Oryctolagus cuniculus: one gene and its partners. Each later gene encodes a partner of the first gene's protein in a complex. Links are inferred from orthologs where the notes say so. Each region holds a gene or a part of one and is shown on either strand. Other genes may lie near its edges.

What was found.
Region 2: the proteins of YWHAH (region 1) and NUMB are in contact, whole or in part, in a crystal structure (PDB 5YQG), measured with the Mus musculus proteins. The link is inferred for Oryctolagus cuniculus from reciprocal best matches to the Homo sapiens genes YWHAH and NUMB. Residues at the interface, in NP_035868.1 of Mus musculus: Arg57, Arg132, Tyr133, Leu177, Asn178, Val181, Glu185, Ile222, Leu225, Asn229; in NP_001129547.1 of Mus musculus: Gln274, Gly275, Ser276, Phe277.
Region 3: the proteins of YWHAH (region 1) and NEDD4L are in contact, whole or in part, in a crystal structure (PDB 7NMZ), measured with the Homo sapiens proteins. The link is inferred for Oryctolagus cuniculus from reciprocal best matches to the Homo sapiens genes YWHAH and NEDD4L. Residues at the interface, in NP_003396.1 of Homo sapiens: Arg12, Glu15, Asn39, Asn43, Leu44, Ser46, Val47, Lys50, Arg57, Lys125, Arg132, Tyr133, Gly174, Leu177, Asn178, Val181, Tyr184, Glu185, Leu221, Leu225, Asp228, Asn229, Leu232, Trp233; in NP_001138439.1 of Homo sapiens: Pro444, Arg445, Ser446, Leu447, Ser448, Ser449, Pro450, Thr451, Val452, Thr453, Leu454, Ser455.

Annotation. Positions count from the first base shown.
Region 1 is NC_091452.1:25,023,366-25,027,610, forward strand, and holds the start of YWHAH (14-3-3 protein eta), read left to right. Parts: upstream 1-1,326; coding exon 1,327-1,413; intron 1,414-2,170; exon of another isoform or gene 2,171-2,787; intron 2,788-4,245. UniProt on the Homo sapiens protein: Adapter protein implicated in the regulation of a large spectrum of both general and specialized signaling pathways. Binds to a large number of partners, usually by recognition of a phosphoserine or phosphothreonine motif.
Region 2 is NC_091451.1:19,419,745-19,422,452, reverse strand, and holds the end of NUMB (protein numb homolog), read left to right. Parts: intron 1-137; coding exon 138-853; 3' UTR 854-2,191; downstream 2,192-2,708. UniProt on the Homo sapiens protein: Regulates clathrin-mediated receptor endocytosis. Plays a role in the process of neurogenesis.
Region 3 is NC_091441.1:19,988,471-19,992,116, reverse strand, and holds part of NEDD4L (E3 ubiquitin-protein ligase NEDD4-like), read left to right. Parts: intron 1-769; coding exon 770-843; intron 844-2,933; coding exon 2,934-2,994; intron 2,995-3,646. UniProt on the Homo sapiens protein: E3 ubiquitin-protein ligase that mediates the polyubiquitination of lysine and cysteine residues on target proteins and is thereby implicated in the regulation of various signaling pathways including autophagy, innate immunity or DNA repair.

The DNA of each region.
Region 1 (4,245 bases):
CATCCACTGGTTCACTCCTCCAATGCTCACAACAGTCGGGGCTGGGCCAAGCCAAAACCAGGAGCCCAGAACTCCATCCGCACCTCCCCTCGGCGGCAGGGGAACAATTACTGAAGCCATCCCCGCTGCCTCCCCGGGTGCACATTAGCAGGAAGCTGGACCGAGGACCACAGCCGAGATTCGAACTCAGGCTGGGCCCCAGGCTGCTCTGTTGCTGCTTGGATCTCTGCTGTTCCGGGCAGGGACGCGTACTCAGTGCAGGGAATAGAGTTGGGTGCCCAGCCTCTCCCCCAGGTCCTGTGCTGTCCTTTGTTGCACGTCCCTAAGGTCCTGGCTGTATCACTTCGCGGCTCTGTAACCTCCCGCAAGCCGCCCACCCGGCTTTGCCTCTGGTTACGGGGCGACCAGCTGCGTCCACTCCCTGGAGTGAGGATTACATGGGGCCCTGCCTATAAAGGCCCAGCTCCGGGTCGCCTGCTTCCCAGCCAGCAGGTGTCCCTGAGCGCCACTGTCCGAGGCGCCACCCCCCACCCCGGACCTCCTCGTGGACGCCACAGTCGGCCCCAAGACCACTTCTCGGGGTGGGTGGGAGCCCAGTGGGTGTGCAGGGGCGGGAACGGGGCTGCCCCGGAGGCCAGACCCGACCGGGCGCGGTCCCGCGGCCAGACCAGACTCCGGCCAGCGCGGGCGGGTCCGACCCGGCCCTCAGGACGCGCGGCCTCCCGGCCTCTCCCCAAAAGCGAATTTGTTTGCTTTTTGTGGGGTGGAGGGCTCCTCTCAAGCCAGATCCCTAGCGTGGACTCCGGGACGCTCTCCATGGCTCAGCCGCCATCACGGCGCCCCCTCCTCAGGCTCTGCAGTCCCCACCCCGGGTCTCCTCCCCTCACCTCCCACCTCCACCTCTGCGGCGGTAAAATGCAGCACTCGCACGGCGCCTGCGCGGCTCCCGGGCGGGGCGGCGGCGGCGGCTATTTATAGTAGGTGACGTCACCTTGAAATAGACCGTTAGGGCTGGCCTGCCCTTCCCCCCCTCCCACTCCCGCCGCCCGGCGCGGCGGCTCCCAGTGCGCAGGCGTCGCCCCGTCCTCCCCTCCCCCGCTCCCCCCCGCGCGGCTGCCTCTCCTCCCTCAGCGGCGTCCTCGGCGAGAGCCAGAGCGCGCGGGGCGAGCCAGCGAGAGGGCGCGAGCCGCGGCGCTGCCTGCAGCCTCGGGCCGGCCGGCGAGCCAGTGCGCGTGCGCGGCGGGCTTCCGCGGAGACCGGGCAGCGGACGGGCGGGCGAGCGAGCGAGCCGTGTGGGGCGCGAGGCGAGGCCGAGCCGCGAGCGACATGGGGGACCGTGAGCAGCTGCTGCAGCGGGCGCGGCTGGCCGAGCAGGCGGAGCGCTACGACGATATGGCCTCCGCCATGAAGGCGGTGAGCGCGCCGGGAGCCCGCGCGTGGCCGGCCGGGGGGCCCGGCGTGGAGGAGGCGGGATGGGGCGGCGGGCGCTGGGTCCCGCTCCGGGCGACCCTGCTGGGCGCGGCCGCCCGCCCGCCATTTCCTGACACCGGGCTCTGGGTGGGGTGGGGTGGGGTGGGGTCCCCGGGGAGGGAACCGCTCAGGGTCGCGAAGGCAGGGGGACCGGGCGGGCGGGCGGGGGTCGCTGCATCCTCAGCCGTGAGGGAAACGGGAGGGAGCCGCAGCCCTTCTAGACGCTTCTACGGGATCTGGGGGCTCACACCTCCTTCCCGCCTTTCTCCAAGGCCCTCACTTGTTTCCAAAAAAAAAAAAACAAAAAACCAAAAAACCACCTTGGGGAGTGGGGCCCTGCCCTGGGTTTCTCAGCCACGATCTGAAACCTGTGCAATCCGAAATTCCTTTCGGCTCTGCTTGCCTGGATCGTGCTTTGCCTACCTTCGCACGCCCGGGGTCTGGCTTTGTGTGCGAAGACCCCCCTCCCTGCATTCCAGGCGGGTGGACGCGGGCTCGGGGTGGAGGGTGGGGAGCGGGGCGGGGGGAGGCCGTGGCGCCCCAGGTTGGGTGTCGCGCCCTCTGCCTGGAGGCTGAGCCTGCTTGCAGGCAGGGGACAGGCACCCGTGTGCCTTTTGCTTCCCCGAGGCCATCACAGGTCCCCATTCTGCAGCTCCATTTCCGGGGAAGGAGTGGTGGCCGGCCACACCCTAGCACATACCGTGGATTTAGACACCACCTGCGGTTCTGAGACTCCCGAGTTCCGGTTACCAGCTCGCTGTCCCTGGCGCTTCGTGTTATCTTACATTGTCTCCAAATGAACGCTGCTTCTCCCTGGCTCAAGGTCACACGGCCAGGAGAGCTGCGTGCTGGGTTCATCCAGCGTACGACCTGGGAGGAGCCTCCTTGAACTCCACGATCTTGATACCTCCCAAAGAGTCAGAAATTCTGGGGCTGAGACTCCGAAAAAATGCATCTTAGCCAGCTTGGTAGGCAGGCTTTAGTTGGCTTAAGCTGGATGGGAGCGCCTGTGTCGTTTTGCTGGCTTTTGGAAGAGATTTCTTAAAAAAAAAAAAAGGCAAATTTATAAGCTCCCCAATATTTTAGAATCATTGAAAAAGCTCATTTTAAGGCTTTTGATAATAGCGGGTGACATAGGTAGCTGAGACCAGTATTTCGGATTTTCCAAGTGAGAAAGACAAGTAGGTGAGTTACCCTTCTATGATGTCCTTGTCACTGTCACGCGTTTAGCTGCATGGGTTGGGAAGCCCGCAGCCCACAACGCATTGGTGCATTGGTGAACCTGTATGCTATTGTGCTGAGCTAGGAGCCCTTCATGCAAACAAGGGAACCGCCTAGATGGGGGGGGGGGGAGTCTGATCTTAAATTCTGGGGGCTTTTAAAAAAAATGAATCTAAAGTACAGCGTTCGCAAATCTTACAGAAACGATAGTGACTATGAGAGCATGTCCATGAAGGGACCCGAAAGCTTGATTTTGGGTGTGAGGGGCTGTAATTCTGCCTCTGTTCCTGCATCAAGTCACATTTAGAGGGGCTGGTTCTCCGCTCTGCCTGCCTGCTACTGGGGTTAATGCTGCCCGGGGCCTTTGCCCGCCTTGTGAGCTGCAGTATTAGGAGTCCTTTGGGAAATGGAGATTTGGAAAGAAGGGATGGGGCCTGAAGGTGAATTGAGGTTAAGGAAAAAACAGCTGGAAGGTACATTCTGGGAACCTGAGGCAGCCTGCGTTGGGAAATAGGAAAGAAGGGGGAGAGGTGTTCTCAGAACAAAATTGAGTTTTGAGTAAGAGAAAAAAATTGGCCTCCTGATCTAGATAAGCAGGCTTGAAAAATGCTTTCCTGCTGCAGCTGCCACTGCTTCTATGGCCGTGGCTGGAGGCGTTAAGATAGGGTTTTGCAAATAATGGACCCTTGAGCATGTCAGGAATCCGTAATGCCCATCTCTGAAATGATGGGTGGGTTGGAAAAGCCATCCAGCCTGGAGAATTCCACCAAGCTGCAATTATGTCATCTCGGAATTGTGATAAACTGTTCCCTCAGGGTGACTCCTGTGAAAGAACTTTTTTTTTTTTTTTTTTTTTTTTTGTCAATTTGCCTTGTGAAAAAAATATTTTATCTCGTTAATGGAACATCAGAAAGGATTTGGCAGGGTCCTTGGAGAGCACTTTCTTGTTTTCTATTGTTAAATTGTAGGTTGGATTCTTAATGTTGCTGGGGCCATCGGTCCCCATATTATTAGCATAGCCCCTAACCAGGGCTTGTGCAGAGTGACTTGGCAGGAAGCACCTGGGTTTATGCGGGCTTTCGTCAGGGAGGTGGAAGGGCAGGTAAGTGGACTAGGGAGGATGGAGCGGAACACCGGAGCCAGGGGGAGCCGCCCATGGCTCCTCTGACCTTGAAACTTGCGTCTCCGGGCATCGAGTAGAAAACCTGGTCATGGTGTTACTGACAAGTCTGTTTCAGTCTAACTTGTTCTGTCTCCTTCTAATTGAAACGGTCGCTTGGTAATACTGCCTGCCTGTAACGACTGATCCTTGTTCTACCAGCGTCACCTGGAGATACAGCGTGGGTAAGCTGTAAGAAGAATGCATACTGGAATCAACGGGGTGGCCTCAGATCGGCTCCGAATTAGAATTCTCTGCCTCACCTCTTAATTTGAAGAGGTCAGGAAATACATCGGGGGTGAAGCATAAAGAAGCATCTTCATTCAAGCTGTCCTCACACCTAGTGGCTTCATTATCCCGAGATTCTAGAACTTTCTAGAACCCACCCTTTCTGT
Region 2 (2,708 bases), on another chromosome or scaffold:
TTCCTCTTACCTAAACCACAACAAGTACATTAGGAGGACTTGTTCCAAATGTTAGGATCATTCAGATACCAAAGTTGTAAGCTAATGAATGAAGCCTCTAATTCTGATTCTTTTGTCTGTTTTCATCTTGTTTCCAGGGACCGAATGGAGTCAATCATCTGGTGCTGCCTCTCCAGGTCTTTTCCAGGCTGGTCACAGACGCACTCCCTCTGAGGCTGACCGCTGGTTAGAAGAGGTGTCGAAGAGTGTCCGGGCTCAGCAGCCCCAGGCCGCGGCTGCCCCTCTGCAGCCAGTTCTCCAGCATCCTCCACCCACTGCCATCTCCCAACCAGCACCACCTTTCCAAGGGAATGCATTCCTTACCTCTCAACCTGTGCCAATGGGTGTGGTCCCACCCCTGCAGCCAGCCTTTGTCCCTGCCCAGACCTATCCTGTGGCCAATGGGATGTCCTATCCGGCCCCTAATGTGCCTGTGGTGGGCATGACTCCCTCCCAGATGGTAGCCAACATGTTTGGCACTGCAGGCCATCCCCAGGCTGTGCTCCCCCATCAGTCACCCAGCTTGGCCAAGCAGCAGACATTCCCGCAGTACGAGTCAAGCAGTGCTACTGCCAGTCCCTTCTTTAAGCCTCCTGCTCAGCACCTCAACGGCTCTGCAGCTTTCAATGGTGTAGACAATGGCAGGTTGGCTTCAGGAGACAAGCACACGGAGATTCCTGCAGGCACCTGTACAGTGGATCCTTTTGAAGCTCAGTGGGCTGCATTAGAAAGCAAGTCCAAGCAGCGTACTAATCCCTCCCCTACCAACCCTTTCTCCAGTGACTTGCAGAAGACATTTGAAATTGAACTTTAAGCAATCTCTATGGTTCATGTATCTTGTCCATACTTAGGCGAAGGGGTAGAAAGGTCAAAGGAGCCTTTGTCTTCCTGATCAGGACACTTTTCACTAACCCCAAAAAGTCCCCAGGAACAAGTCCAGGCACAGAGTACAGTGAGGGATGATTTTGAAAGAAGAGGGGAAAACCATTCCTAGAGAAGCCTGTCTTGGAAGTAGGCTAAAGAAATCAAGGGCGTGCCCTCTGTACCCTCTCCTCCCTCGTGCCCTTACAGATCTCTGGTGGCAGAGAGGCAGAAGTATCTGAATAGAAATCTACATTCAAAGCACATTTACTGGGATATGAAACACAATGGGAAGCAAAACAGTCTCCCTTTTGTTTTCCAGGCCATTCACCTGCCTCCTCTCAGTACTGGTCTGTCTTAGAGACGAGAACAGAGCGTTTGTGCTCTAGCTGGGAACAGAGAGGCTGTGCTGCCAGAATTCCTGGGAGGCCACATCAGCAACTGCCCAGCAGAGCTATACTGTGGGGGTAAAGTTAAGCTTCCATTTTGGGTAACAGAATTAAATATTATAAATATATATATATATATCAAAAAGCCAAAATCTTTATTTTTATGCATTTAGAATATTTTAAATAGTTCTCAATATTAAAAACTTGTATGAGTTGTAAGTAATCTTGCCAAAAGTAAAAGGGTTAGTTGTAAGAAATTGTATATAAGATTGATTTATCATTGATGCCTATTGAAATAAAAAGAGCGTCAGAAGTCACAGATGGATCCCTAGCTTGTTTGAGATTGAATTCATTGTGAGTAGCACGCTGCAGCAACAATCATGCTTGTGACCAACACCGTCACTAGGCTGTAGTTTTAAAGACAGTGAAACAGCAGTATTGTCCTGGTTTTAAAACTGATGAAAATGTAATGTCATTATTTTAATGCAATCAATCTAAATATGCTCTATAGAGAATATTATCTTTTATATATTGCTGCAATTTCCTTATGTTAGTCCTTTAACACTAAGGTGACAATGACATAATCACATCCGTAGAAGGGAATGCAGGTTCCTGTCTTGGTTTGTAATGTCAGTCCTGGTGGGTTTTGTTTTGTCCTTTAAATTTTTTTCCTCCAGGTTTTGTGGGGATGGGAATTCTGGTTTTGGTAGCTTTGTGTGTCCGCTGCCCCCCCTTTTGGTGAGCAGAACGTCCCATTGCCAGCTGACCTCGGGTAATGTGTAATCCCATCTCATTTTTACTTTTGAACGTTGGCCTTACAATCAAATGTAAGTTATATATATATATTTGTACTGATGAGAATTTATAATCTGCTTTAACAAAAATAAATGTTCGTGGTAGAAGCTCTTGCCCATAAAGGGCTGGTGTTTCCCCTTTCCTGTATTGGCAAATGAGTTTACTTTTCTTCTTAATTCTGCTGCTGCTGCAGGTCCCTAGTATTACAGAGTCTTTTATTGGGATTAGTATATCCTTAAAATTTGAATTTTCATTCATACTTTAGGTTTGTTTGATTCTGAGTAGATCTCTCTCAAGTCAGATTCTTGCTGCTCAAAATGTGGTATGAACAGCAGCATGGACTTGATGTGGGAGCTGGTTAGAATCCCAGGCACACCTCAGGGCTTCAAGCAGCGCTTTTCAACCTTGGCCACATGTTAGAATCATCTTGGAAACTTAAAATCCCAATGCCTGTCCTACACACCAGACCAGTTAGAATATGGAGGGAGGGAGCAGCCCCAGCTTCAGGGTTTGTCTTAAGTTCCCAGTATGGGAAAGGATTGAGAACCACAGGTCTAGAGTTTTATTCTCCCTCTAACTTTAAGGCACTGTTCCATGACTAGTTCTGAGCAGGCCACCTGCAAC
Region 3 (3,646 bases), on another chromosome or scaffold:
GACGTTTGTCCAGAGCATGTGCTGCCTGCAGTAGGCGGAACCCGTGGGTGTAGAACCCGTCGGCACCGAGGACCGAGTATTTTCTCCCCTAAATTTCTACGATGAGAAGCATTTTATTTGAAATGGTAGGCGTCGGCCTCGTGGCCCTAGTGCTGGTTATGACTCTGTGCGTGGTGACATCAAGGGGAAGGTGGTGCCTGGATTTGCACAGCTTTCCAGGCTGGTGTCCATGGGTGGGTCCCAGAGGGACGGCAGAGCAGGGTGCGGGTGTCCCAGACAGATAAGCGCCTCCCTGCCCAGCCTGGCCTCTTCAGCTCCTTTTTTAAGTCCCCATGTTTTTGGCCTCTTCCAAAGAAATCCCGTGCCTCCCTTCTGATAACTATAAAATTTAATTTTCAGAAGCAAGATGCATCAGAACTTGGGTCTCTAGTCCTGACGGATGTGTCCGGCTCTTTGCTCCGCTAAACATAATCTCTTGATGGGTGAACTTGAGATGGAAGCAAGGTCGCCCTTTCCCACTGGTGCTGCCACATGAAGAGTAATCAGTCATAAGCAGCCATGAAATCGCTGGCCTTTGGTGATGGCATCATGAAATGTGTCCATCTTAACAATCCAGGGCCTCATTAGGTTTTCTCTCTCATATGCAGAACCCATTTCCTGAGAAATCTGAACAAATTGTGCTTGTCATCCTTCTGATAGTAGGATGTTACTGCTCCCTATGCAGAGTGACTTCGTGGTGGTGACTGTGGCTTGATCTTTGTCGTTGCAGACATACCAAGTGGACCTGAAGCCCAATGGCTCAGAGATAATGGTGACGAATGAAAACAAAAGGGAATATATCGAGTACGTATGCACACGTGTAGGCCTCTCCTTGTGCCAGGTGGAATGCTCCGTGGGCGGGTGGTGACTGGCCAGTTTCCACAGGCCAAGTTCCTCTCGGGGTGCACTGTGGGAGGTTCGTGGCAGGGTGGAAAGCTGGCCCTGCAGCATGGCGGCCGTGAGCTGCCGTGGGAAGGGATCGGGGAGAAGTTGCACGCCTCCTTGAGTAACACAGCAGGCACTCTTGGACAATGGGCATCTCATCTGAAGTTCGGTGTCAGTGCCCAGCAGGGCGAAACTGGGGGCCGCCCAAGGTGAGATGTTTTCTCTCCGTCCCTACTTCACTTCCATAGTAAATAGAGAGGAAAATAGTTAAAACGGGCAGGAAGAACGCGTGTGCGAGGGTAATGAGCTATTCTGTAGCTGTACTTTCCTAACCCCGTCTCAGCCTCGGCTGGGAAATCAGACTGTTGAGTCCTTTTGGGGCTCTGCTGTGGGGTAATCCGAGGACGTTGGCACCAGCAGAAGGTCTTTATCTGACCGCCTCACGTTTTCCTCCTTGGGAACTGCATGAGGGATATTCCAAAAGTGCATGGTCATGGACAATGCATATTATGAAAAATCCAGACATGGGTTTCAAAAAATTTGGCACCTGAATAAACGTGATGTTTCATTCCACTTTCCACGACCGTGGTTCAGACACGCGGTCCTGGGCCGTCCTAGGGCTTGCCAGGCTGCAGGGTGGGAAGTACAGCAGCGCTGAGCCCTGCACCGGGCGGCTCAGAGCCTGAGTGCCTGTCTGCATCCCGGGCTCCAGTCCAGCCAGCCAGGTTCCCCCCGGACTCCCCTCTGAAACTGCCCAGAGCCCTTCTGTCCAGGGGATGGGCTGGGGGTTGGCTCAGCGTCACCTGGCGTGAGCTGCAGAGAAAAACCCTGTCCTGCCGAATTAGGAAGAAAGGGAGAGCGTCGAGGCTCCTCTCGGAGACCCCGGCAGGGCGAGCCCATGACATAGCCGCCTGTTGCGCTGACGACTGGAGGTGAGACCTGCAGTCCTTACCTGTCCATGCTCATTGCCACACTTGCCTGAACTTGGACGGTCTCGCATGTGACACCCTGGGAGACGGCACTGTCTGCAGAATGTGCAGGCCGGGAATAGATTTTTAAAATTGCTGCAGCCACAGGTGACCAGGAGTTAAGTCTGAGGAATCCCACGTGTGTTGGGCACCGCGCTTCGCGGTTAATTGTTTTTGGGCTGTAACGTGAGGGCCAGGCAGGGTTTCAGCGCACTTCCCTGAGAGTAGTGGTTCGACAGGCCGCCTGACACCTGCCATCCCGCGGCCCTGGGTGGGGGAGGCCTGCACTCCTGCCAGTCAAAGCCTCCTACGGTTGAGCCAGGGTCACACTGCCGGCTGCTGCTCGGGGCTGTGGTCATGGCGCCACCACAGCAGGGAGAGCCCTTTGTAACAGTGGTGCACCCGAAGTGGAACCCAGAGTGGACGCGTGTGCAGCAGATGATGCTGTGTAGACAGTATTGTCACAGAGAGACTGTTAAAGAGGGCTCAACACTCGCCTGCCGAAGTGGATACTAAAGTAGCAGCGTGCAGCTGTATCACCGGGAAGACTTGGAGTGTAGGGACTGCAGCTACTCGAAAGAAACCTCAGGAGCAGAATACATGGTGCTGGGTTTCCCCTTTACACACGAGAGTGTGTGTGTGTGTGTGTGTGTGTGTGCGCGCGCACCTGTGTATTTGAACGTGCCTGTGGCTGTGTGTGCTTTGACACATCCCTGTCTACTCAGCCAGGGGCCTTTCTCTCCTCCACGTGGTCACGTCCGTGAAGCAGCTAGGACCAGCTGCGCCTTGGTGGGCTAGGGAGGCAGGGGGTCAGTTATGCTTTGACCGTTTCCATGAGACTTTGAGATGTCTCGCAGATGCTCCGGCGATCTCAGACTGCACGGTGGGGTCCCAGCTGTCGACCCTCCCTTCGGCTGCGTTCCTGGGGCGGGGGGGGGGGGGTCTCTCTCCCTCCCTGTCCCGTGTAGCAGTTGCAGCTGAGGAGGAAGGAGGGGGTGGCGGCAGTGTCCATGGCTGAACCTGCCCTGTTCTCCCCTGCAGCTTGGTCATCCAGTGGAGGTTCGTGAACCGGGTCCAGAAGCAGATGAACGCCTTCCTAGAGGTGAGCTGTGCAGGAGACGTGGGGAAACCGAGGCAGGGTGGGAGTGGGGCAATGCAGGGAGGCTGGGACGTCACAGCTCACGCTGGCCAGCTGCCGGGCCAGAGGGCTCGGCTGTTTTACCACCACCTTTTTTTAAAATTTTTTTCATGTTAAAGGCTCTCATCTTTGGCTTCTCTCATTTTTTAACTTAATAAAGAGGGCTTTTTACAGAGCTGATGCGGAGCTGTTGACTTGGCACTCCAGGGTGGCCCCCAGGAGAGGGCTGCCCATGGCGACAGGTCTTAGGGAGAGCAGGGTCCCGACGAGCTGTCCCTCCCTGTCCCTTCCTTGCTGTCTGAATTCCTCAGATTCTCTCCTGTAACAGCTGCATGAAAAGCAGTTTCTCAACTCGAGGTTTTATTTCGAATCCAGCCGCCTCGTGTGGGAGAGAAGCCAGCACTTCCCAGGTCCAAGTGTTTGAAGTCAGGGCTGCCCCCGGCCCTGCCTGGAGGCCCCCAGCATGGGGCGATGGACTTGTCATTTCTGGGTGTTCTCGCTTTGGCCGAGAGTGAGATTGCTTCATCAGGGAGGATGGCACGGGGGACGCCCCGCCCCCGTGTGCCCAGCCCCCGCTGCCTGCGCAGAGCTCCCATTGGGTGCACTTCAGGCACTC